Linked DNA regions of Elephas maximus indicus. The protein of the gene in region 2 interacts with the protein of the main gene of each other region in a biochemical or structural test. Links are inferred from orthologs where the notes say so. Each region holds a gene or a part of one and is shown on either strand. Other genes may lie near its edges.

Region 1 (11,603 bases), on a different chromosome or scaffold from region 2:
AGCTGTGTTTCTGTATTTTGTGTACAACCGCTGTTACATGGGAGCGCTAAACATCAATGCGCTGGTAAAAGTCAAATAACGAACCACTATAGATTTTGCATTAACATCATTCCTCTATTTGCCGTTCAAGTACAAGTTAGTTTGTGTTACTGAAATACATTACAGCAGAGCAGGCTGCCAGAGAAGGGCTAGGCAACAGTATCAATACCATGGAGTCAAAACCAAAAGAAATTACTAATATCTCAGAATAATACCATACCTATTATTCCCAAAATGTCCAGTGTTTAGTCTCTCTTCTCAAAGAACATTTATGAAATTTTATGTACTGGGCACTAAATGACCAACCACAGCCCAAAGCCTCTGCCCTCAGTGGGCTTCTTGACAGAGCCCACATACTTTAATAGCTAGCCACATACATAATTTGTGGCACATTCCAGCAAATCATCCAAATAGGTGAAGGAAAATTCACTTAGGAAAGCATTAGAGGGAAAGGAGAAAAAGAATAAGCACTGATGATACCAAGTATGTTATTAGTCAGGAAAGGCCTTGTAGAGAACTTCTGAAGGTCTTTTTTTTTTTAAAAAAAACAGAATGGCATTGTGTAACAGAATTGTAAACTTAGTATTCCAGAAATTCGTGAAGGAGTCTGAGCGAAGAAAGATTTTGCCAAGGTAAGAACAATTCAACATATAGCCAAAGAAGGCATATAGAATAGCTTGTACACACACACACACACACAAAAGAAGAGCATATACAAAGGCATGGAGATGAAATCTACTGGTTACTCCACCATCCTGAACATTTTATCATGGCAGGCACAAAAGAGATATAAGGAAAAGTGGCAGATGAGGTAAAAAAAAAAAAAAAAAAAAAAAGGTAGGGCCTTATGTGGCACTTATATTAACTACTGTAACTGATGAAAATGTTGTCACATCCTTGAGGTATACAGGAGCAAGAAAAAGAAAAATTGACCTGAGTGACAGTTACCTAGGTGTTTATAAGCACTCACTGGACAGAACTTTCCTATACTCATGTTTGAAGATTTTTAAATACTTCTTTAAAATGTGAGAAAATAAGAATCAATGCCTTATGTGAAAAGGTCTAGTATTGAAGCACACATTCCAGCCTAAATAAAAGTAATTAAGAGTTTCCCTTTCATTGTGTATTTCCTAGTTTTACCTACAAATTCCATTCCCCTACTCAAGCTCCCAATTGCTATCAGTGATAATTATTCCCTCCCCATCTCTATCTAAAAACCTTAGGAAAATCTTTAACCACTTCCTCTCTGTGAGCTTTGCACTTAAACACAAATCAAAAAAGAAAAGAAGAAAATCCCAACCTCATTCCAGACTACGTCCAACTCATTTTTAGAAAATTCCTCCTTGCAGACTGGATCACAACACTACTCCTCCAGAACGAATTGAAGACGTTACTGTCAGTCACCCTTTCCACTGCTCTAATCATGTTACAGCTTCTAACTCTGCTCTGAGATAAATAAATCTTCCTATCAAGAAAAGGCTTCCAACCAACTCTTTGTCACAAGGCATATTCTCAGACCACCACAGGACATTTGCAAATCTTATCTCTTCACTCCCTAATCTCTTTTTTCACCTAGATTTTTAGTCACTAACTTCTCACGAGCACCTTTCAAGTCCTTTAAGATTTACCAACCTTGCTTTTTTTCCTCTCCAAGGATCTCTTAAAATCTTTCTATGAAGCCATTCTTGACTGAATGACTATGAAATGATTTCCTCCTCCACCCTCTCCCCACCCACAATGTCCTGACACAATTCTACACTTTTCTTTAGAAAATATTTATCCCTGCACTTAGCATCTTATTTGTATATCAGCTGGTTGCATAGTTTATAATATGTCTGATCTTTTGTCCATCCTCTTTATGAGAAGGTAGGAATATCTCATCAAAGTGCATCTCCTGTTTGGGAACAGCCTGATAATCACCAACTACTTAGTCACAGAGCTAAGTTGTAGTACAAGTTTCTAAAGGCAAAGACTAAATTACATTGGCGGGCAGGGGTCTAGTCTTAATTATGCCTAAATCCACAATAACGGCATTTGATCAGATTTGACCCCAAACCATCTTTAATCACATCTCTGGCACTCCCTTTTCTCTCAGAGACACAGCAGTCTTGCTACCTTCTCTCAGAACTCTTCCATTACTGTACCCTCATTCTGGACTGTGTCTTCCTTCCCCTCCCCCTCCTCCAGCCCTTGGCCTGGAGGTCTTTTCCTTCATCCTTCTCACTCCCATTCATGCATTAAGAATCCACGGGAACATCTCCCCTGACCCTCAGCTCCAAGTTAGGGTCTTCTCATGCATTCTCAGAGTACCTATACCATAACCCTGGTGGAGATACTGCACTGTAATCATCAGTTTACTCTTCTATCACCCGCACTAGACTGTCAGCTCCTGGAAGGCACACACTGAATTATATTTACTTTTCTATCCCCAAGACCTAATATTGCGTTGGCTGGGCACACTCTTAAGACACCCAATAGAAAGTCAGTGAATGAACACTCATACCCACTGCGTGACCTTGTGTAGGCTACATAACCACCCTGAACTTCCTCATCTAAAATACTCTCCTCAGGTAGTGGGGATAATGCTATACCTGGCTTATAACACCATTAAATGAGATATCACGAAGCTCTCAGTATAGCGTCTGCCACGTACAACTACCATCTGAATATCTGCTATTTCAGGCCCTTAGGTATTCTAATGTATCCTGGAAGTGTGATGCTGGTGTAATTAATATTTTCAAGGAACCATGCTGTCTTTTTCAGGCATCCAAAAGTCACTGGTCACCTTCTGATCAGCAGCAAATACTTCTGTGTACCTATTACGTTCAGGAGTCCTTAATAAGTATCACTGCACTCCTGGAACATAGAACAGGGGCAGACAAAAACCTGTACCAATAACCAAGAAAAGCAAGAAAGAATGTTATTAGTTCTTCTGTACAAAAGGTATTTTTTAAGGCTACACAAGCTTTGCTTTACAGTAGTGGTAGCTTCAAGAAAACTACTGATGGAGAAAGTTAAAACTTAACTCCTATCATCAAGTGAACCAATTGCAGGAGATAGTTCCAAAATTTCCTCTTGCTATTTCTAAATTTCACTTTCACTTAGATGTATTTCTCACAAAGGAAATTTTAACCAAGACCAGGACAGAGAGAGATGACCTTTATTTGTCTCATTCAAATGGGAATTCCACAGATATTTCCCTAGGGTTTTTTCCAGTTAGTATTTAACTCTGCACCTCTGAAAAATGGCCTGAGTTTCGTCTGTTCCTCTACAAAAAAACACTGAATAGTATCTTTTCCCCACCACCTTCCCTCTTTAAGACGGGACAAAACACGCACTTCTTAATCGCACTGGCCCCTTGGGAACAATCACAGAGCGGCAATTCATGCCACCTCGAATTACAAAAGGAGGCTGTGGACTTAAAAACATTCTCCCCCTAACAAATCCGGAGGTCAGAGTCCCAGTGAAGTTTGTGCATTATACTTCACAGCTATTAGTAGCTGCAGAGAGACCTCTAGCGCTGCCTTGATAAGCCCGATTTGCAAATAGTACCTGCTAATGTCACCTCAACGAGACAATGGCAACAAGCTGAGTAGCAACAAACTGAGCGACCGCGATGAATGTTTACAGTTTTGTAACCACTTGGAAACCCTACCAGCTTGGACCAAGAGGTATACAAGGTCGAATGAACCTATGTATTCAATTTATTTCAGTAAAACACTGCAAAGAAATCACCCGATGCACACCCTACTCCAAGAAACGCTAGGAAAACAGGTCCTACAAGCGGAGGTGAGAAAAACCTCTCCTCCAAAGCCTCGACACAATAGATGGTAAACTACTGTCCACCTCCTGTATGCTCCAAATGCCAGAAGGAACAGAATAGGGGCTGGAAAAGCACAGCACGACTGGCCCAAAGGACAGCACTGGAATACATGAAAATGGTCCTGGCGCATCCTACCCTCCCCCACCCACCACCCTCAAACAAGTCAGTTACCCGGCTGGTCCCCACCCCCCTCTGCGGGCCGCCGCCGCCCGCCTGGGCCCGGCTCTCCAAGGTAGGCGAGGGGACCGGCAGAGCCGCGGCTCCATGTGCGGCAGCGCGGGAGGCACCGGGAGGCTGCGCCGAGCGGAGGTGAGCGGCAGTGGGCGCCAGCCGCGGCCGCCCCTCGGCGATGCGGGTCCCGGCCCGGGCCGCAGCATCGCCGTCCGCGCGGCCCCAGCCCGCGGACCCCGCCTCAGCTCCACATCCCTTCCTCGCCGACACCAGGCCGCGCCCGCGTGACGGGGCCGAAAGCCCCGGCATTTCCCTGTCGCCGCGCCGGCAGCTCCGGAGGGCGGCTGCAGCCCGGCCCTCGCCCCGCCGCCCGCTTTGCCCAGCCCCGGGCCCCGGTGACGGGAGGCGGCGGCCAACTCCGACCGACCGCGAGCCGGCGAGAACCAGCCCGGCGCCCGCCCCCCGCCCCTCCCGCCGCCGCCGGGCTGGCGCGGCCGGGCGGGCGGGCGAGCCGCGAGGCCCAGACCGCGGAAGCACACTCACTTCCACATCGCGGCCCTTGTTCTTGAAGCTCTTGATGCGGTGGTTCTCCAAGCCGGGGTTCTCGGCCATGGCTGCGCGCGGCTCCGTGGGCGGCTACTCCTGCGGCTGCGGCGGCGGCGGCGGCGAGAGTCGGCGCGGGAGGGGGAGGTGGGGGAGAGTGGGAGGGAGGGAGGGGGAGGGGGAGAGGAGAGCACGTTCCGTGACGCCTCCTAGCGCGAGGTGGCGGCAGCGCCGGAGGAGGCGCGGCCGACGGCCAGGCGGGGCGTGGCGGGAACGGCTCCGGGGAGCGGCGTGCGCCGGGGGAGGCTGGGGACACGTGACTGAGAGCAGGGACCCGCCTGGACGCTCGCCCGGCTGGATGTGTCCGGTTGGTTCTTGGGATGACCCCAGCCCCTTGGGAAGGCCTCCCCCATAACCCCTCGGGGCTGCAAATTATCTGCCAGAAATGGAGCCGGATTCAGCGGCTTTTACCAATCCCCAGACGAGAGCGGCGGGCGGAAACTACAGTTCCCAGCATGCCAGGCTCCGGCCGGGGGTAACTCTCCAGCCCTGTGAGAGAACGAGGAGAATGCCGGGATTCCTGCGCTCTAGGGCTCTCGGCGGGGCGGCCGAGTGCCGAGGAGCGAAGCCCCGCCCCCAATACCGCCTCTGGGCGGGGCAGAGGGAGGTGCTTCCCTGGAGATGCACCTTGCGCCCTATTGGGAGGGAGAGGGGGCGGGGCGTCATGGAAGGCACACTTCGCCCTCTGTAGCCTGGAAAATTAGAGAAGAACCATGGTGCGTTCTTTGCTCGCCCACTTCTTTGGGTCCCCTGAAATAGCAGCCACCCTCATTCGCTGTTCCCTTGCTCTGCTTTGGTTTTATAAATAGAATTTATTTCCACCTGACACGTACATTAGTCTGCATGTGATATGTGGGTCCATGTGTATGTTACCTGACTTCTTGTGCCCGGATTAAACTCGATGAGTGCAGGGATTTTAATTTATTACTGAATCCCTCACGTCAAAACAGTGCCTAGCACGTCGAAGGTACCCAGTAAATGCTCGTTGAACAAATTATACCGCTTTCGCAACTTGCTGTTTCTTCATCATCCTCCCAGGCCCGATTCTACAACACCCACTCTGCTGCAGTTCTCACACCTCTTTTTCCGCGGTCTCCACACATAACCTCAGTCTTCAAGCAGCAGTCAATCTCCAGTCTGCTGACTCTCCATTCTAGCATCTCCCCGTAGCGTCATCTGAGAAATAATCGAGGGAAATTTGGATCAATAACACTAATAGAGAGCTGCTTTCTGGAGCCGATGGGCTTGTGAGATAATTCCATTTCCGAATCTATGCCACATATAAGTAGGCATGCCATGTTATAGTACATGTAATTCAAATAAACTGAGATCATTCAAAGGTTGGTAGAAATATAACCATGGAGAGATTAACGGATGAAGACAATCTTTTAAAACAAACCCCTGCCTTCACCTCGATTCTGACTCATAGCGACCCTATAAAGACAAAGTAGAACTGCCCCATGGAGCTTCCAGGGAGAGCCTGGTGGATTCAAACTGCTGACCTTCTGGTTAGCAGCCGTAGCTCTTAACCACTATGCCACCGAAGGAACCTTAAAGAGTTAGAGGTGCAGGGGTCATAAACTCAGAGGCCTTCAGTGGCCAGGCAGAGAGCCAAGTGGAGCTGGCCACGCTGTCCAGGGGCATTCTTTTGGTGAGGGTGACATGTGGCCTCTTGATAAACACAGGCCCTTTAAGGCTCCAGACCACTGTTGCCATATTGGAATGTGGCCGAGGGTTGCCAGAGTTACAAATTTTCAAGGGAAACCAAAACCTGAATTTTTTTTCTTAAATCTTTTTTAAATGTTGACTCATATTTTCAATGCTCTTCAGCGGTCCAGGCACTTTGGAACTTGACCCCCAGCTTGCAATACCTGATCCTAGTCCAATACTCATTTGAAAGAAAAAAACAAAAGTCTGAGAATAGATTACTTCAACTCTGGTTCTTAAGGAGACAGAGGTTGCATGTTTGCCACTCTCCCTGATTCACTGAGAAGGAAGGGAGAGAGGTTTCTAGACTGTTGTTCAATCTCTATTCTACTTTAGCAAAGGGTTCTCTATTCAGTTCACCTTATCCCCTTCTGGAGACCCTGGTGGTGTAGTGGTTAAGAACTACAGCTGCTAACCAAAAGGTTGGCAGTTCGAATCCACCAGGCACTCCTTGGAAGCCCTATGGGGCAGTTCTCTGTACTGTAGGGTCACTATGAGTCGGAATCAACTAGACGGCAGCAGGTTTGGTTTTGGTTTATCATCTCTTTACCCTATCTGCTGTCATCAAATGTGTACATCTTTCATCACTCAGTTTAGTCTGTGGCACGCTTAATGAGTGCTTACTATGTGTCAGCCATTGTACTAGCAGTAGGATGCTTTGTAAACAGGATAGCCTGGTTCCTGCCTCCACACAGATTCACATCTATCAGAGAAGACAGAAAATGAAATAAGTAATCACCCAAAAAGTATGGATGTTAAGAAAGGAGAAGAAAGCTCAAGGCTCATAGCAGGGAGACCTTTATAACCTGCCAACTCTTGACTCTTAACATTTGAGGAACTTAGTGCAAATGGAAGTCCGCATAGCATATGTCTGAATATTTAAAAGTTATAAATCAAGCACACAACCTTGAATAAAATACATCCTAGCCTCCTACATTCACAAATGCACCTCTTTAACAACCTGGAAGTCTGGGTTCACATTTAAATTTCTTGACTTCTTGGAATTCTGCTTCAGAATGTGGCAGCTCAAAGAGGGCAGGACCCCAGCCCAGCCCACAGCCCACTTTCTGTTCCCCTTCTTTCCCATATCCTGGTTCTGTCCCCCTCTGGAACAGACTTTAAGAATATGTGTGCATACCCCTGCACATAACATTCAAGTTCTGCCCACGCACCCCCAAAGCTGTCAGCATCCCCCTACTCCCTGAAGAGGTGGCCCTTGCCATTGGTCAGGCCTCAGTCAGTTGCCATCAAGTCAGCTCTGACTCATGGTAACCCCATGTGTGTAAGAGTGGAACTGTGCTCCATAGGGTTTTCTGATTTTCAGAAGCAGATCGCCAAGTCCTTTTTCCAAGGTGCCTCTGGGTGGACTCGAACCTCCAGCCTGTCGGTGAGCAGATAAGCATGTTAACCATTTGCACCACCCAGGGACTGCTCAGCCTAGAGAGAACAAAGCAGTGGCATGACATGCCCCCTGGAGGATGGACCCAGGGAAGAGACTTGAGAAGACCTGGAAGCAGACTTAATGCCATTTCGACAGGGAATCCCATGGTGTAGAGACATAGGTGCCAGTCCCCCCTACCAACCTACCAAGTCCCTTCCCTTTTCCTACTCCCCTGCCTCTTAATACAGGTTCCTGATGAATATGATGCTAGTTATGTGGTGAATACTCAAAATATATTTGGAAAATAAATCCATGTAAAAGAAGAGCTTTCAGGAGAAATTCCAGGGCAAGGGCAAAGGCCAGTGAGCAAAGAGGATATAATCAGCAATTAAGCCAAAAAACCAAACCCGTTGCCATCAAGTCAATTCTGACTCATAGTGACCCTATGGGACAGAGTAGAGCTGTCCCACAGGGTTTCCAAGAAGCAGCTGTTGGATTCAAATTGCCAACCTTTTGGTTATCAGCCACAACACTTAACCACTATGCCACCAGGGCTCCAATTAGCAATTAGAAGCACAAAATTTGAGTCACTGGAGATGGTTATTTCCTAGAGGTTAAGGGCTCCAAGGTCTGGTGGGCACTATATGAGGTAGACACTTGGTGTAGTTAAGGCTGTGGAGAAACTCTCTGGCCAGGGTACCAGGTTTGCGGATGCTGAAGTTACCAGGGATAATGGCAAGGAATAAAGATGACAAGGTTAGATCTGGGCAAGGGGCCTCCCTTTAGAGAACCTCACTCTTGCTCCCTCTGGCTGCACTCTCCCCGTAAGGAAAGGAGTCCTTGGGGCCAAAGGGTCCTGCTCACTAGAACCTGTGCCTCCAGACCAGGAAGGAGGGTTCTCAGCCTGGTGGTCAGGCTACCCTGTCTTCACCCTCTGACTCACTGTTTACCTTGCCAAGGCGTTGGGAGTCATGCTAGGGGGCAGCTGGGTGCCAATACTCAACAGGAAACACACACACAACAAAAAGGAGTTCATAATTTTTCTACTAAGCTACCTTTTCTCTGCAAATTCCCTATGTTAACAGCGTAACCACTCCCGTAGAGACTCCACTGAGAGCTAAGAACCAGCTTTGCTTCCTACCTTCACTGTAAATTCACCCTTCGGTGTCTCTCCTTCCCACACCACCCACGAGACTATCATGTTGTTTTTGTTAGTTGCTGTGGAGTTGATTCTGGTGACCTCACAGGTGCAGAGTAGAACTGCTTCACAGGGTTTTCATGGCTATGACCTTTCAGAAGCAGATCACCAGACCTTTCTTCTGAGGTGCCTCTGGATAGGCTTAAACCTCCAGCCTTTCAGCAGGTAGTCGAGCTCTTTGCTGTTTGCGCCATCGAGACTACCTTAACCAAAAAAGAAAACAAAAACCAAAGCCCATAGCCATCGAGTAAGACTAGCATAACACCTCCTAACTGGTCTCCCTGCCTCCTCCATCCTCCCTGCAACAAGCTGACTCCCTTCCCCAGACTTCCTGGCTTCACCTCTACTCTGTGATCAGGACACCCCCTCTCTCCACCATTATCTCCCAAACCATTTATAAACTCCTCAGTCTGGTGGTTAAGATCATATGTGATTTGGCCCCGTTACAGAACACCTTTCCTAGTTCTGGCTTCCCTGCACATAGCTGATGTTTCAGCTAACATGTTCTACTCACCCTGTCCCAAATATGCCTTGACCTTTCCAGCATTGACATCTTTTCTGTTCAGTTTTCCTAGAAGGCCCTGCCCTCATCTCTGTCTGTCAAAATCGACCCCTCTTTAAATGCCCAGCTGAAGTGGTCACCTCCTCCGTGAAGCTTTCCCAGAATGGTGTAGTGGTGAGAACTCAAGAATCTGAAAACTCAGGCTCTAGTGCTGACTTCCTAACAGACCAAACCCAGGCAGCCCACTTATCTTCCCTGAATCCTCTTCTCATCTCCAAAAGAGGATTCTGTATCGTGGGAATTTTGTGAGAGTCAAACTCTAAAATGCGCTTGCAAGCACTTTAAATTACTTTAAGGTCATCTCATTTTATACTACTGAAGTGATGGGACCGGGACACGTGCATTACTTCTACACCATAATTTTCCAATAATTAGACTATAATAAACATTATGTTAATTACTAAAATACTTGTTACCCTACTACAAAAGTACTTTAAACTTAGTACTTTAAAGTACTAAAAATACTAATGTATTATTTTTTATAGTAACAACTATTGATAGTTGCTACTATTTTTCCAACCAGGAGTGGTATCTTTTCTCTATGAATCTCCGAAGGACTTTTCTAGGAAAACTGACGCTACACAAATTGCAGCAACACACTGTTTTGTGTTGCTGCAATGTGTGTAGCATCTTTTTTCTTTTGCTTACCTATAAACCCTTAAAATGGCTTGTACGTATTTGTGTTTTCCCAAGAATAATTGGATCTCAATGCATGTTTGTTGAATGAATAAATGGACTAATGAATAAATGTATGAACTCTCTCCTTCCCTCACGATCACCTTTTGGCTACTTTACTACTCTCTAAGAGCACCTGAAACAAAGCAAATACAGAAAACCGAAGGAAATAACATTCAAATCAATCAATCCAACTGTTGTTAGCTGCCGTCCAGTCAAGGTGGCCCCCAACTCATAGCGACCCCATGTAGTACAAAGTAGAACTGCTCCATAGTGTTTTCTTGGCTGTAATCTTTATGGAAGCAGTTCATCAGACCTTTCTTTTGTGTAGCCACCGGGTGGGTTTGAACGCTAACCTTTACGTTAGCATCTGATTGCAAACCACTTGCACCATACAGGCTCCTTACCCAGCTCTTAAAAACGTAGGTGGTAAAGAAGGCTAAAACAATAATAAGAGTTTCCATTTACTGACTATGAACTGTGTGCCAGGCATTTACATACATCATCTCTAGCCCCCCGAGAACCCTGCATGGTTGAAATGATCATCTCCCTCTCTCTCTGGGACAGGTGGGAGAATAGGGCTCTGATTCTGGGGTCTGTAACGGCAGCAGGAACAATGAAAGGACTCAAGCACAGAAACACAAGTGGTTCCTGGTGTGGCCAACACCTAGGATGGTGGTGACAAAGACCTCCAGCTTCCCCAAAGAAGAAATACATTTCTTGGGGCTCTAGGAAAGCGAGGCCTCCTCTCCAAGGGATGGCCCCTCTCCAAGGGGTGTCAGCTGTGGATAATGCTGTGCCCAGTAGAGCAATGATCTCCTGACAGTCAGTAGCAGCAGACACAGCATTAAGGTGAGAAGTCAGCGAGGAAGAACCTGGGAAGCATTCAGAAATAGCTGAGGACACTTAGAGGGGGCTAATGTCTGGAAAGTGGGCCCATGAAGACTTATACATAATAAAGTGGATAATGCAAATAAGATGCTCTCATTGTATAATAATGGGCTGATGGGCTCGAAATACATGCATTACACCTACAGTATAATTTTCAAATAATTAGACTATAATAAAATAAACAATGTTAAACTGTAGGAAGCATATTTTAATCTTTCGATAATCCAGAATATACTTAAGGACTTCACCACGTTTTAAGGTTATGATTCTAGACCTTAGTTATAATTTTACAATAGTCTAAATTTAGAACCAAATGGTACCTTGGAGAAGAGCACTGTCTTGGAATTTTAGTGACTTCCTGTGTGTCCTTGAACACCTTTCTTTGCCTCTGAGTCACAGTTTCCCCACCTGTAAAACAAGCAGGTTGAGCTAGATGATTTCTAAGTCTCCTGCCACCAGCATAATTCTATGGATTTGTTAGAGCGTTTGAAGTTCCTGGGTGACATGAATTGTTGTCATGCTTGTCTGCTAACCGAAAGGTTGAAAGTTCGAG
Region 2 (11,837 bases):
TCAGCTAATTCAGTCAAATGAACTCACTAAGAATCATCAGTCCACTCAAAAGGCAAGCAGTTAACTGTGGCATAGACACAGGACAAAGAGTAGCTGCCAAATATTCAGGCCAGCTCTGCTGACTGGGCCAGGTCACTTAGTATCCTGCTTTGTAGCTAGAGGCTAATAATGAACTCAACATCTTTCCCCCTTATACAGTATGTTATCGTCCCTGCCAAACTCTACCAGCTCTGCCCAATAACAAATGGCTCTGACTGATTCTAAATGAAGGTTTTGTTTTGCTCTCCAGGACTAGCAGAGCTAGAATGGACTTTAACAAAAACTGTATGTCAAAAACATGAGGTCAACTGTCCAAAATGGCAACGCCTGAACAGGTATTAACCTTGGTCTAACTTAATAGTCCCGGTCCAGGGCGCCTTTATATTAATATTTGAATCCCATTCTACGTTTACCTTTTCTTCTTTAAATTGATTCTAGAAAATCCTTAGTATTACTTGAGATGATTTAGAAACTACAGAGTTCAACTCCTGAGAACTGAACTTTTTTTTAAACCAGTCGTGGGCCTGATAATACCCAATTACCAGAAATAAGTGGAGTAAGAAACCAGCAATCAAATATGTCCCAAAGTCCAGATTTCAAAAAAGAAATGACCACCAGCACTGAGAAATAATACTACTGGATATGTTATGAAAAAGGAGAAAAGGCCAAGATGACTGTCAAGTTTTTTTCACGCACGAAGACTGAACCATGCCTATATAAATTGTGATCCAAATTTTAAAAAATATTTTGGTGCTAAGACTGATGTGCCAAAAAAAGTCAATTACCATTCCCATTTTGTCTTATTATTATGTAATTCAAGAGGAAATGAGAAATCAAACGGGCACGATAACCATCAAGATAATGGAATAAATTTCATTTATGTCAAATTGCTGAGGAGAAGGGGTATCAAAACGTTATTACGTAAGACGCTACGTAGATAGAAAGAGCTTCACGTATTCCAAGAAAGATTCAAAATAAGCTCGCTTTCATAACCTAGTTCCCTGTCGTGGGCCCCTCCATGCAAGACTGAAAAAGGAAGGAGGTACGTAACTAGAAAGAAAGATTTGCTGTCTTAAGGATCACTAATTTACCTAATGCTGACACAACAAGGAAATGGCAAGTAAGGTGCATAACCTTGACCTGCACATACACACACATAGGAATCCCCTAATGGTTTCCCCTCAAAAACCAAAGACCAACTGATGACTGCACAGATGCTAAACTGACTCACCCTTGTGCCTTTTATCCCTGTAATACAAGCCACTAAAGAACCTCGCTAATTAAAAAAAAAAAAAAGGAGCACATCTGTTCGTATACTCCAAATCCTTTGTTTCATCTTCAATCATGCATTTTTATCTCAAGTCACAAGAACTCCATGATGCAAAGCAATAAGGGACATTCGACTTTCCTCAAATATTGGGAAAATTCATCATTTCAGTTTTCCAATGCCTTGAAAGAGGCAGGTGTTTCTAAAGAAAGTTTTTCATAATTTGCAAATAAATAAAAGCATCTTTAACGGCCATAATAATATTTTGCAAACTCTGTGGCCTTGAAAGGGCCAAGAGATAATTTAATTGCCCTCTGGCTCCAGAGTACTATGCATAAACCATCAGAGAAAGAGGATTACTCACAGCAGTTCACCAAAAGCTAGGTGCCGCTTGAACTGTGGAAGAATCACTTGGGAAGACAGTTTTAAAAATATTCCTGGGCCTCACACCAGACCTACCAACTCAGAAGCTCTGGGGGGAGCCTGGACGAACGTATCATTAATAAATTCTCTATGTGATTCTCATCGCTTCAAGTTTGGTAAAACCAATTTTTATCTCCAATTCACCAAAGAGATTCTATAAACTCCTTTCATTATCAGTTCTGGCAACTAATTAAAGTTTCCCCAAGTGTTGCAGTCCACCTCAAGTTATGGGGGCGGGGGGAGCGGGGGATCGCAATCTATCAATGGGAATGGACAAGCTGAACTGACAAAGATTTAAATCAAATACAGCTTTTATCTTCAAATCAAGTTTACATCTCAGAAACCTATCACACCGTCAGCTCTATTCCATGCAAATGACAAAAGAGCTGACAGATGTTTCTTGTTCCCTAGGGAATATGACCAAAAGGAGACGAACGTTACTTACATAGTTCTTGACTTCCCTTCGCGCGTTAGCATCAATAGCCAGCCATCTCTGCTGATATTGTGCCTTGATGTCTGGATCCTTAGATGTCAAAGAGTTCTTGATTTGTAGACCAGCTGCAACTCTGGCAACCTGACTGTTTCCTGGATTTGCCAGCACTCTGGACAGTTCCACAAGGAAAGTGGGCTGTTAAGAGATGCATATACAAATAAAAACATCTCGAGAATTTCACCAACTGAGCATAGCTTATGAGCACCACACCACTGAGAAAAGTTGTTTTTTTTTTTTTTTGAGCAAATCATAAATGTCTCAGATAATTCCCCAAAATGTACCTATTAAAGTCACCCATCTTCTCATGAAATGTCAAACAGTACTTACAAGAAGTTGTAGATTTTCCTAGCAAACCTTTCTTAATGGCCAAATCTTTACATTAAATCTCCAGAACTAAATCAAATCTGGCAATCTGGTAGCCAACGGATTCTTCCACGTCAATTGAAATATCCCAAACATCTACACCAGTGCCTGATAGTCAATAAATATTTGTTGAATGAATGAATACGTTGTAACAGGGTAGAAAGTAAAACTATTTTCAAATATTCAGGCCAGCTCTGCTGACTGGGCCAGGTCACTTAGTATCCTCAGTCAGAAAAAAACCTCAGTCAGAAAAAGATACCAAGGGTAGCTTTTGGACTAGTGAAAGTAAATCTTGAACAAGAAAGAGAAATACTTATCAATAGTCCTAAAACAGACTTAGAAGCCTATCCTCTATATTTTAGTTACAGTGCGGATAAGGCTACATCTGCGAAAGGGGAACAGTGGAAAAAGCAGATTTATAAGGAAGAATTCATAAATATTTAGAAGGTTAAGTGGAAAAGATAAGAAAAGTCAAGGCAAGTTGTTCCAAGGTAACTGATTTTGTATTTAACAGTTAACAGATTAAATAAAAGCTGCTTTACATTTTGGACTTAAGTTGTGCACTAAACATAGTGAAGCCCTGAAAGACACACTCGATCTTTTGTAATGCACAGGTCCCCTAGGAAAAGCTACCCCCTTTGTTTAAAAATTTTAACATACACGCTCCCTTCCCCTCCAAAAAAGCAGCTCTGTCCAAATGGAAAAGTTTACAGAAAAAGCCAAAAGCAGACAGTTTCTTCCACTATCAAGTACTGCCTGGCACCTGAAATTCTAGTCACGGCAGAAGATATTCTTAAGTCTTACTAATGTTGGACAATGGGATAGAAAATGCTACTGGTGAAGAATGAGCTTCCTGGATCAAGTAGTCACGTGAGACTATGTTGGCATCTCCTGTCTGGAGGGTAGATGAGAGGGTAGAGGGGGTCAGATGCTGGCCGAATGGACACGAAGAGAGACAGTGGGGGGAAGGAGTGTGCTGTCTCATTAGGGGGAGAGCAATTAGGACTATATAGCAAGGTGTATTTAAATTCTCATATTAGAGACTGACTTGATTTGTAAACTTTCACTTACAGCACAATTAATAAAAAAAAGTCTTACTAAAATGTTGTACCACTAAAAAATATTTTTAAAATAAGATAAAAAGCAGAAACAGGAATATATTCCTATGGAATGTTATCAGTCTATACTAATAGAAAAAACCTTTCCTGGGGAAAGATTAAAAAAAAAGAAAAAAACATAAGAGTAAAAAAATAAAAACCAGCAATTATAAGAACAAAATACATCATCCACTGGCAGTCTGCACAAAATAAGCCTTGTCTTTTTTTTTTTTGCTTACATTATTTTGCCTAGAAAACTCAAAGGAACACATTTTGTTACAGTGTTACCAACACATTGCTTATTACCTTTAAAAGATGTCAAGGATCAGCCACCCTTCCCTATGCTCCCTCCCATTCCCACAACAGGAGAGGAAAACCAGAGAAACGTTAACTGGCACATGGGCTGTTGAAATCATTTTTATACAGCAGGCCAGACTTTATACTCTAGTGGGCTTATCTTCATTTTTTCTGTGCCTTTTAAATTTGAAAACATGAAAAACGAGGAACTTTCCTCTGTGATTTCATCAGGAAATAGGCCCGATCTTCTCAAAGATAAGCTCCAGCCTGTTGTCTGGGTGCAAATCCCTACTGATTAAGTCTCTGCTCATCAATGAAAAAAAAAAAAAAAAAAAAACCCAGGAGAGGAAGAACCGAGTATACTAGGAAGAAATATTAACGGGAATGGGTTAAGAGGCATTCGGGTGCCAGCCCTAGCCATGAGCACAGACCAAGGGAGCTAGGAAAAGGCAGAGCTCTGGGAAGTAAGTGGAGAGAACCCCAGAGGCCACGGGACAGGAAAGAGAAGCCAGCACAGGTCCGAACAGGGCTGGCAGCTGGGCTCGGAGCTTCCACATGGCCCCTAGGCCCGGCTCCCCCACCCCCACCCTTGCTGAACACGCAGCGCCGCGCAACCTAACTTCCCTTTCCTCCCTCTTTCTCCCTCCCGCCGCACCGCCGCCCTCAGGCCGCGCGGCGATTGGGCGGCAGTCACCCCGGCGCGCTGCGCCATTGGCCAGTCGCCGGGCCCTGGGGCGGGACACACCCACCGGCTTCCCGATGGCGGGGTTAGGTTGGACCGGGGTGCGGGGGGAGGGGGACGGGATGGGGCGGGGTAGGTTCCCGAGGCCTGGGCCTCCGGGAGGGCGGGAAGGCCCCGGACGCAGGAGATGGGAAGACGGCGGGATGGGGGAGAGCAGGGTGGCACGCACCAGGTTCTCCACGGCCGCACGCTCCAGGAACTTCTGCGCCGCTTCCAGTTCCAGGCGATCTAGGGGGAAGGAAAGTGGGAAAGGGGACAGGGTCAGAAGGGCAGGGCCTCCCCCTCCCCCACTTCAAGTCGCCTCGGCCCGACCCCCCGGCCCCCGCGTCCTACCGGGAGATACGGTCTTCTCGAGGATAGTGATCAGCTCCATCGCGAAGGTGGTGGCGCCGACTCCTCCTAAGACGACGGTCCGGCCTCTCGGGCGGCGACTCTAACTGGGGTTGGGGGTTGGGGGTCGGGTGGGAAGGGAGGGTGGGGTGGGGGGCGGGGGTCACCACAAGCCCATTCACCGGCTCCCACTTGCTAGTCACTCAGGCCCCCTTTCCTTCCTTCCTTCTTTCCTTCCTTCCTCCCTTCTAATGTGCGGCTCGCGGCGACGGCAGCTGCTCTTCTGGCGGTGGGGGAGGAACCCCGGGGGCAGCTCAGACCGCGGCTGGTGCTCGGGTGGCGGAGGGAGAAAGAAGGAAGGGAGGCAGTAAGTGAACGGCGGCTCGCAGGGAGGGAGAGGGAGGGAGAGAGGGAGGCGGAGGGATATTCGGGCCGGACCTCTCCGCCGCGGCACCGCGCTCCACGTCGATTGGCTGCCGCTGTGGCCACGCGGAATCCCCAATTGGCCGGGCGGTTAGCGTTGAAGGGCCGCCTTGCGCCGATTCGCCCGCTGGTTTCAAGGACCGGGTTGGCTGGGCGGGCAGCGGAATGGGGCATGCGGATTGGCCGAGGGAAGGGAGGTTGGGGTGGGGCAGGTCTGAGCCGGCTGCTGATTGGATTGGCCTGGCAAAGGCCGTGGGCTCAGACTGGCTGACCGCTAGGAGGAGGGTGGGTCAAAGGCAAGACTCCGAGCCTGGGTGATTGGCTAGGACACTAGACGTTGATAGACTGGGGTGCTCGGGAGAACTGGAGAGAGGTGTTCGGGGTCGACTCCGCGGAAAGGCGGGAGGCCCCTGGCCGCTTTAGGGGCCTAGCGCGGGGCACGATGGGACGCCCCCGGGAAGGGGCGGAGCAGTGTTGGGGCCGCTTCGGGCTGCGGTTTTGGAAAGCGCCGTCACTCCGAGGGGCGTGTTGAGTTAGGACTTGGCGGGTCTGAGCCTGGGAGGGAGACCGTTAAAACCCTGTACCGCGTCCACAGGAAGCTGCTTTAATAACTAGGCCTATTTAGTACCAGGCTTTCTGTTGGGGAGGATTTTAAGAGACCATTTGGTTCAATTTCCAATTTGCAATTGTAGAAACTGAGGACCAGAGAGGGCACGGAACTTGTCCAAGGTCACACAGCCCGTTAATGGCCTAGTCCGGACTGCTTTCTAGCACTCCCAACTGCCCTTGGCCCTGCCGGCAACATCCTCCCCAAGAAGGTGAATGCTAATACGTCCAGTTAGAAGGCCTGACTCCAATAGATGTGGGCACTTGGATTCTTCTTAGAACCCAGTCTGAATAGGAATGTATATCATTCTCCAAAGGTGTCCCAATAAAGGCACAACCGTGAACCAGAAGGAATGTGTGAACAGGCATAAAGGATTGTGGTTTTTAGCCTTTTTTAGTTAGGACATTGGGAGAAACTAATGAAAGTCTTTCCTTAGCAAAATGCACAGAAAGAAACTGCGTGCGGTTTCCTGACTTCACCTCCCATTGATAATGGGCCCCAAGTTAACAGATTGCTCAGCTTTTGCATTTTTCACCGTATTGCTGATAGTGTTAACTGTAGCTGTTTGGAGTTTGTGAGGTATTTGCTCTCTACTCTAGCCTTTTTTTTCTAGCCACACTGGGAAAACCTAGGCAGAAGTCTTATTCATGCTGAGGGGTCCCAACCAAGTATTAGGAAAGCTTGGCCAGCTGCCTTTGATCCTTAAAAGAGGAAGAAGAAATTTTTCTGTGCTAGATATACCTTTGCAATCCTGAAGCTGGAAATGAGGCATACTGTAGCTAGCTGATTCCTATGGTTTAATAGTCCACCTACTTCCAACCTTTTACTTTATTAACTAAGAAAGAACTGGCCTGCGTAACTTCATTAGAAATCAATGAAGGTTAAGTGAGATGACATCCATGGAAATCTTTGAATTGTCTTTACGTGAATTACACTATGAAGAAGCCTGGGTGCTCCAGTGGTTAAGCACTTGGCTGCTAACTGAAAGGTCCTTGAGTTCGAGCCCACCAGCCGCTCCAGGGGAGAAAGATGGGGCAGTCTGCTTCTGTAAAGATTACAGCTTAAGAAACCCAACGGGACAATTCTACCCTGTCCTATAGGGTCGCCATGAGTCGAAATCGACTCTTTGGCAATGGGTTTTTGGGGTTACACTATGAATGAGCTATAATTTTGTTTCACTGCAAGCCAATTTTCTTCAGCTCTCCAGCAGTTTTCTGTGCCAGCTCCTCTGCTCAACATTAGTCATGATAATACTACTGAGGGCACATTGATTTTTAAAGTTGTTGCTAGTTGCTGTCCAGTCGATTTTGGCTCATAGCGACCCCATATTAGCTTCTCAGTTACCTTGTCTAAACATTAAAAGAATACCTTAAAGGAATGCAGAGATTAAATTAAATAATGCAGCCTGAAAAACTCAAGCACATAGTGGGCACTTCATTATGGATTACTTCTTGTGGAGGGGGAGATGGTATCCCAGGGAGGGGCAGTCACAGAGGGCTTTCTCGAGGACAGGATAATACCCCCTTACCTTGAAATAAGTGGTATGTTTTGATTAGGAGAAAGGCTTCTACTACACTATAGCAACAGTTATTAGGTAATAGATAAGGGACTGAACTAGGGCCCCTGCCCACTGCTGTCAAGTCGATTGCAGCTCATAGTCTAACCCATTGGGTTTCTAAGACAGTAAACCTCTACCAAAACAGACTGCCCCATTTGTCTCCCTTGGAGCCGCTGGTGGTTTCTAACTGCTGACCTTTTGGTTAGCAGTCAATCACCTTAACCACTGCACCACCAGGGCTCCTCACAAACTAAGGCCAGGAGGAACAATTAGAGAAATGTTGAATCAATAGAATTGATGGGGTTTAGTGGTTGATTAGATACAGAGGAAAGGGAAGGATGAAAGGTGAGTCCTAGATCTCCAGCTTGAATGTTTGGGAGAGTGGATAATTGTAAAAACATTTATTGAAGCTAGGTTGGTGCAGGAGGTTGGGGTCAAGGTGGGGGAGATGGTTGAAGAATTCAGTTTTAGAAATAGTTTGTCTTTATGGTCACAGAGGGACATTCAAGGGAAACTGTATTGGGATTTGGAAGAAAGGCAGGTGCTTGGGGAAGAAAAAATAAGTCAGTTGATCAGAAATGGTCATTAAGACCCTGACATCCTATAAAGAGAGAGAGAAAAGCAAAATATTTAAGAGAGGACATGGAGTTCCAAACTAGTGGGTAATACGAATAAGAGGGAGAAAGAACAGCAAGAGGTAGGAAAACAAATAGAAGAGTGCATTATTTTTAGTTGTGCTAGTCTGAATAGGGTCACTATGAGTCGGAATCGACTCAACGGCACTGGGTCTGGGTAGTCTGAATTACCAGTAACCAGTAGCCGTTGAGTCAATTCCAACTCACGGTGACCCCCCTGTGTGCTAGAGTAGAACTGTGCTCCATAAGGTTTTCAATAGCCAATATTTCAGAATTAGATCACCAGGCCTTTCTTCCAAGGCACCATTAGGTAGACTCAAACCACCAACATTTTAGGTAGCAGCTGAGCATGTTAACTGTTGGAACCACCCAAAGATGTCCATGTGCTAATCCCTGGAACCTGGGAATATGTTAATCTACATGGCAAATGGGACTTTGCAGATGTGATTGAGTCAAGCATCTCGGGATAGTAAAATTATCACTTATTATCCTGGTGGACCCAATGTCCTCATAAAAGAGAGTCCGAGTCAGAGAAGGCTCTGTGATGACAGAAGCCGAGGTCAGGGTGAGGCGTGGCCAAGGAATGCAGGTAACCTCTAAAAATAGGGAAAGGCAAGGAGTAGATTCTCCCATAAAGCCTCCAGAAGGAACTCAGCCCTACCTATCCATATTAAACTTCTGACCTCCGGAACTACAAGTTGGTGTTGCTTTAAGTCGCTAAAGTTATGGTAAACTATTACAACAGCGATAGAAAACTAATACCAAAACCAAAAAAACAAACCCATTGCCGTCAAGTCAGTTCTGACTCATAGCGACCCTACAGGACAGAGTAGAACTGCCCCATAGGATTTCCATAGGTGGATTTGAACTGCTGACCTTTTGGTTCACAGCCAATCTCTTAACCAGTGCGCCACCAGGGTAAACTAATACAGTAGTTAACAATTAAAAACAACTGAAATATCTAACAATGGTGGATTCATTAAATAAATTATGGTACATTCTTATGATCAACTGTTGTAATTCTAGTTAGCAGTTAAAAATTATGCTGTCAAAGGTCATTTAATCAAGTATAAAATGTTCACACTCTTGTTTAGAAAACATCATAATATTGTAGATTCATATGTTAAAAATTCATCAACATTTTACACACTTGGCTAGGTATAAGCTAAACCCATTGCCGTTAATTTGATTCCAACACATAGTGATCCTACCCCCCCCCCAAAAAAAGCCCTTTGCCTTCGAGTCGATTCCAACTCATAGCGACCCTATATAGCACAGAGTAAAACTGCCCCATAGGATTTTCAAGGCTGTAAATCTTTAAGGAAGCAGACAGCTACATCTTCCATGGAGTGGCTGGTGGGTATATGAACAACCAACATTTCAGTTAGTAGCCGAATGCTTTAACCACTGTGCCACCAGGGCTCCTTAGGTATAAAAAAAAAAAAAAAAATTTTTTTTTTATACCAACCCAATAAAAATTCTTGCAGAGTATACATAGAGAGTGCCTGTTTTTTGTTTTTAAATTAGCTACTTGATTTAAAAAAAAATCATTTGATGTTTTAACAAAAGTCTTAGCCGAAATACAGAGGTAATTTAAAATTAAAGGTTAATTCTTAGTTAGTGTTAATTTTCTTCCTCTCCTTTTTTTAATTTAATTTAATTTAATTTTTTTTGTGCTTCAGGTAAAAGTTTACAGAGCAAAGTAGTTTCTCATTAAACAATACACATATTGTTTTGTGACACTGGTTGCCAACACTGTGATGTGTCAACATTCGCCCCTTCACCCTGGGTTCCCTGCTTCCATTCATCCAGTTTTCATGACCCTTCCTGCTTTCTCATCTTTGCTTTTGGGCTGGTGTGCCCATTAGTCTCATATACATGATTGAACTACAAAGCACATTCCTACGTGTGTTATTGTTTTTCCTATAGACCTGTCTAGCCTTTGGCTGAAGGGTGAACCTCAGGGGTGACTTCAGTACTGAGTTGAAAGGGCGTCCGGTGCCATACTCTTAGGGGAGAGTATCCTATTTTGTTCAAAGAAAAGGAGCTTGAGTTCTATCTGTGTATCCGTGAATAGGAAAAAAGACTGGAAAAGTATAAACCAAGTGTTAATAATGGCTGTCCCTGGATGGTAGGATTACAGTTGAGTTTTTTATACTCTTTTCTTTGTGTATTCCAAATTTTCTCCAATTAACAGATACTACTTTTTTTATTATTATTAGAAAAAAATGTTTTAAAAATCAGTTAAGAGGGGTAAGGAGAAAGTTTCAAGAAGGATTTGTAAGCTCAAGGGCAAGGGCCCCATTGAACCTGGCACAGCAAATCTTCTATAATCAATCTTCTAAAAATACATGGTGATTTTATTTCTAAATTGTATCCCTTCCAAAGCAGAAAGGGATGCAATACTGGGGAGATAGAGGGAAGGGAAAGAAAAACAGACAAGAATAAAGAGGTAAAATCTTCCTGAATCCTGACTTGGGAGGCCTCTGAGAGACTTGGAGGGAAGTGGAACCAATTACTTAATGACTTTCCCCACCCCTACCCTGCCCCCTCCCTTGTCTGCCGAGGAGCTGGATCCTGAGCCAAACACCTTCAGCAGCTTCTCTTTTCATTTACTCAATCCTCATTAAATTCCTTTCTTTGTTCTTTCTCTAATTATCAAAGTAATACATGCTCCTCACTGTAGACATTTGGAAAAGTATCGAGAGTTAAGAAGTAGAAATCCTAGCCATTAGAGAGATGCAAATAAAAATTACAATAAGGTACCATCTCACTCCTGCAAAAATGGCACTGATCAGAAAAACAGAAAACAAACGCTGGCGAGGTTGTGGGGAGATTGGAGTTCCTATTCATTGGAGCTGGGATTGTAAAATGGTTCAACCACTGTGGAAAATGGTGTGGCACTTCCTCAAAAAGCTAGAAGTAGAAATACCATATGACCCAGCAATCCCACTCCTAGTTATATGTCCTAGAGAAATAAGAGCAGTGACACAAATATATGTACACCCATTTTCACTGCAGCATTATTAACAATAGCAAAAAAAAAAAAGGAAACAACCTACATGTCTATCAGCAGATGAATAGGTAAACAAAATGTGGTACATGCATACAATGGAATACTATTCAACGATAAAGAATAACGATGAGTCTGCGAAACATACCTTGGATGAACCTGGAGGACATTATGCTAAGTGAAATAAATCAATCACAAAAGGACAAATATTGTATGATACCACTTTTATAAAAGTCAAGAATAGGCTTACACAAAGCAACATTCTTTGATGGTTATCAGGTATGGGAGGGGAGGGAGGCGGAATCACTTAATAGATAGTAATAGTAGACACGTGTTAATTCTGATGAAGGGAGAGGCAATACACAATACTGGGGAAGTCAGCGCAACGAGAGCAACGTAAACGAAGACACTGAAAGGTACACAGAAATTAAGGACAACCACAGCATTAGGGAAATCTGCAGAAGACCTCTTTAAAGCATTAAAAAGCAAAGATGTCACCTTGAGGACTAAGATGCGCATGACTGAAGCCCTCGATTGCCTCATATGCATG

The links.
Region 1: the proteins of KPNB1 (region 2) and KPNA3 form a complex in vitro, tested with the Homo sapiens proteins (2 studies listed by BioGRID and IntAct, with this or other methods). The link is inferred for Elephas maximus indicus from reciprocal best matches to the Homo sapiens genes KPNB1 and KPNA3.

Annotation. Positions count from the first base shown.
Region 1 is NC_064832.1:28,638,252-28,649,854, reverse strand, and holds the start of KPNA3 (importin subunit alpha-4), read right to left. Parts: upstream 4,735-11,603; 5' UTR 4,646-4,734; coding exon 4,577-4,645; intron 1-4,576. UniProt on the Homo sapiens protein: Functions in nuclear protein import as an adapter protein for nuclear receptor KPNB1. Binds specifically and directly to substrates containing either a simple or bipartite NLS motif.
Region 2 is NC_064837.1:45,771,826-45,783,662, forward strand, and holds the start of KPNB1 (importin subunit beta-1), read right to left. Parts: upstream 5,459-11,837; 5' UTR 5,095-5,458; coding exon 5,055-5,094; intron 4,950-5,054; coding exon 4,891-4,949; intron 2,358-4,890; coding exon 2,175-2,357; intron 1-2,174.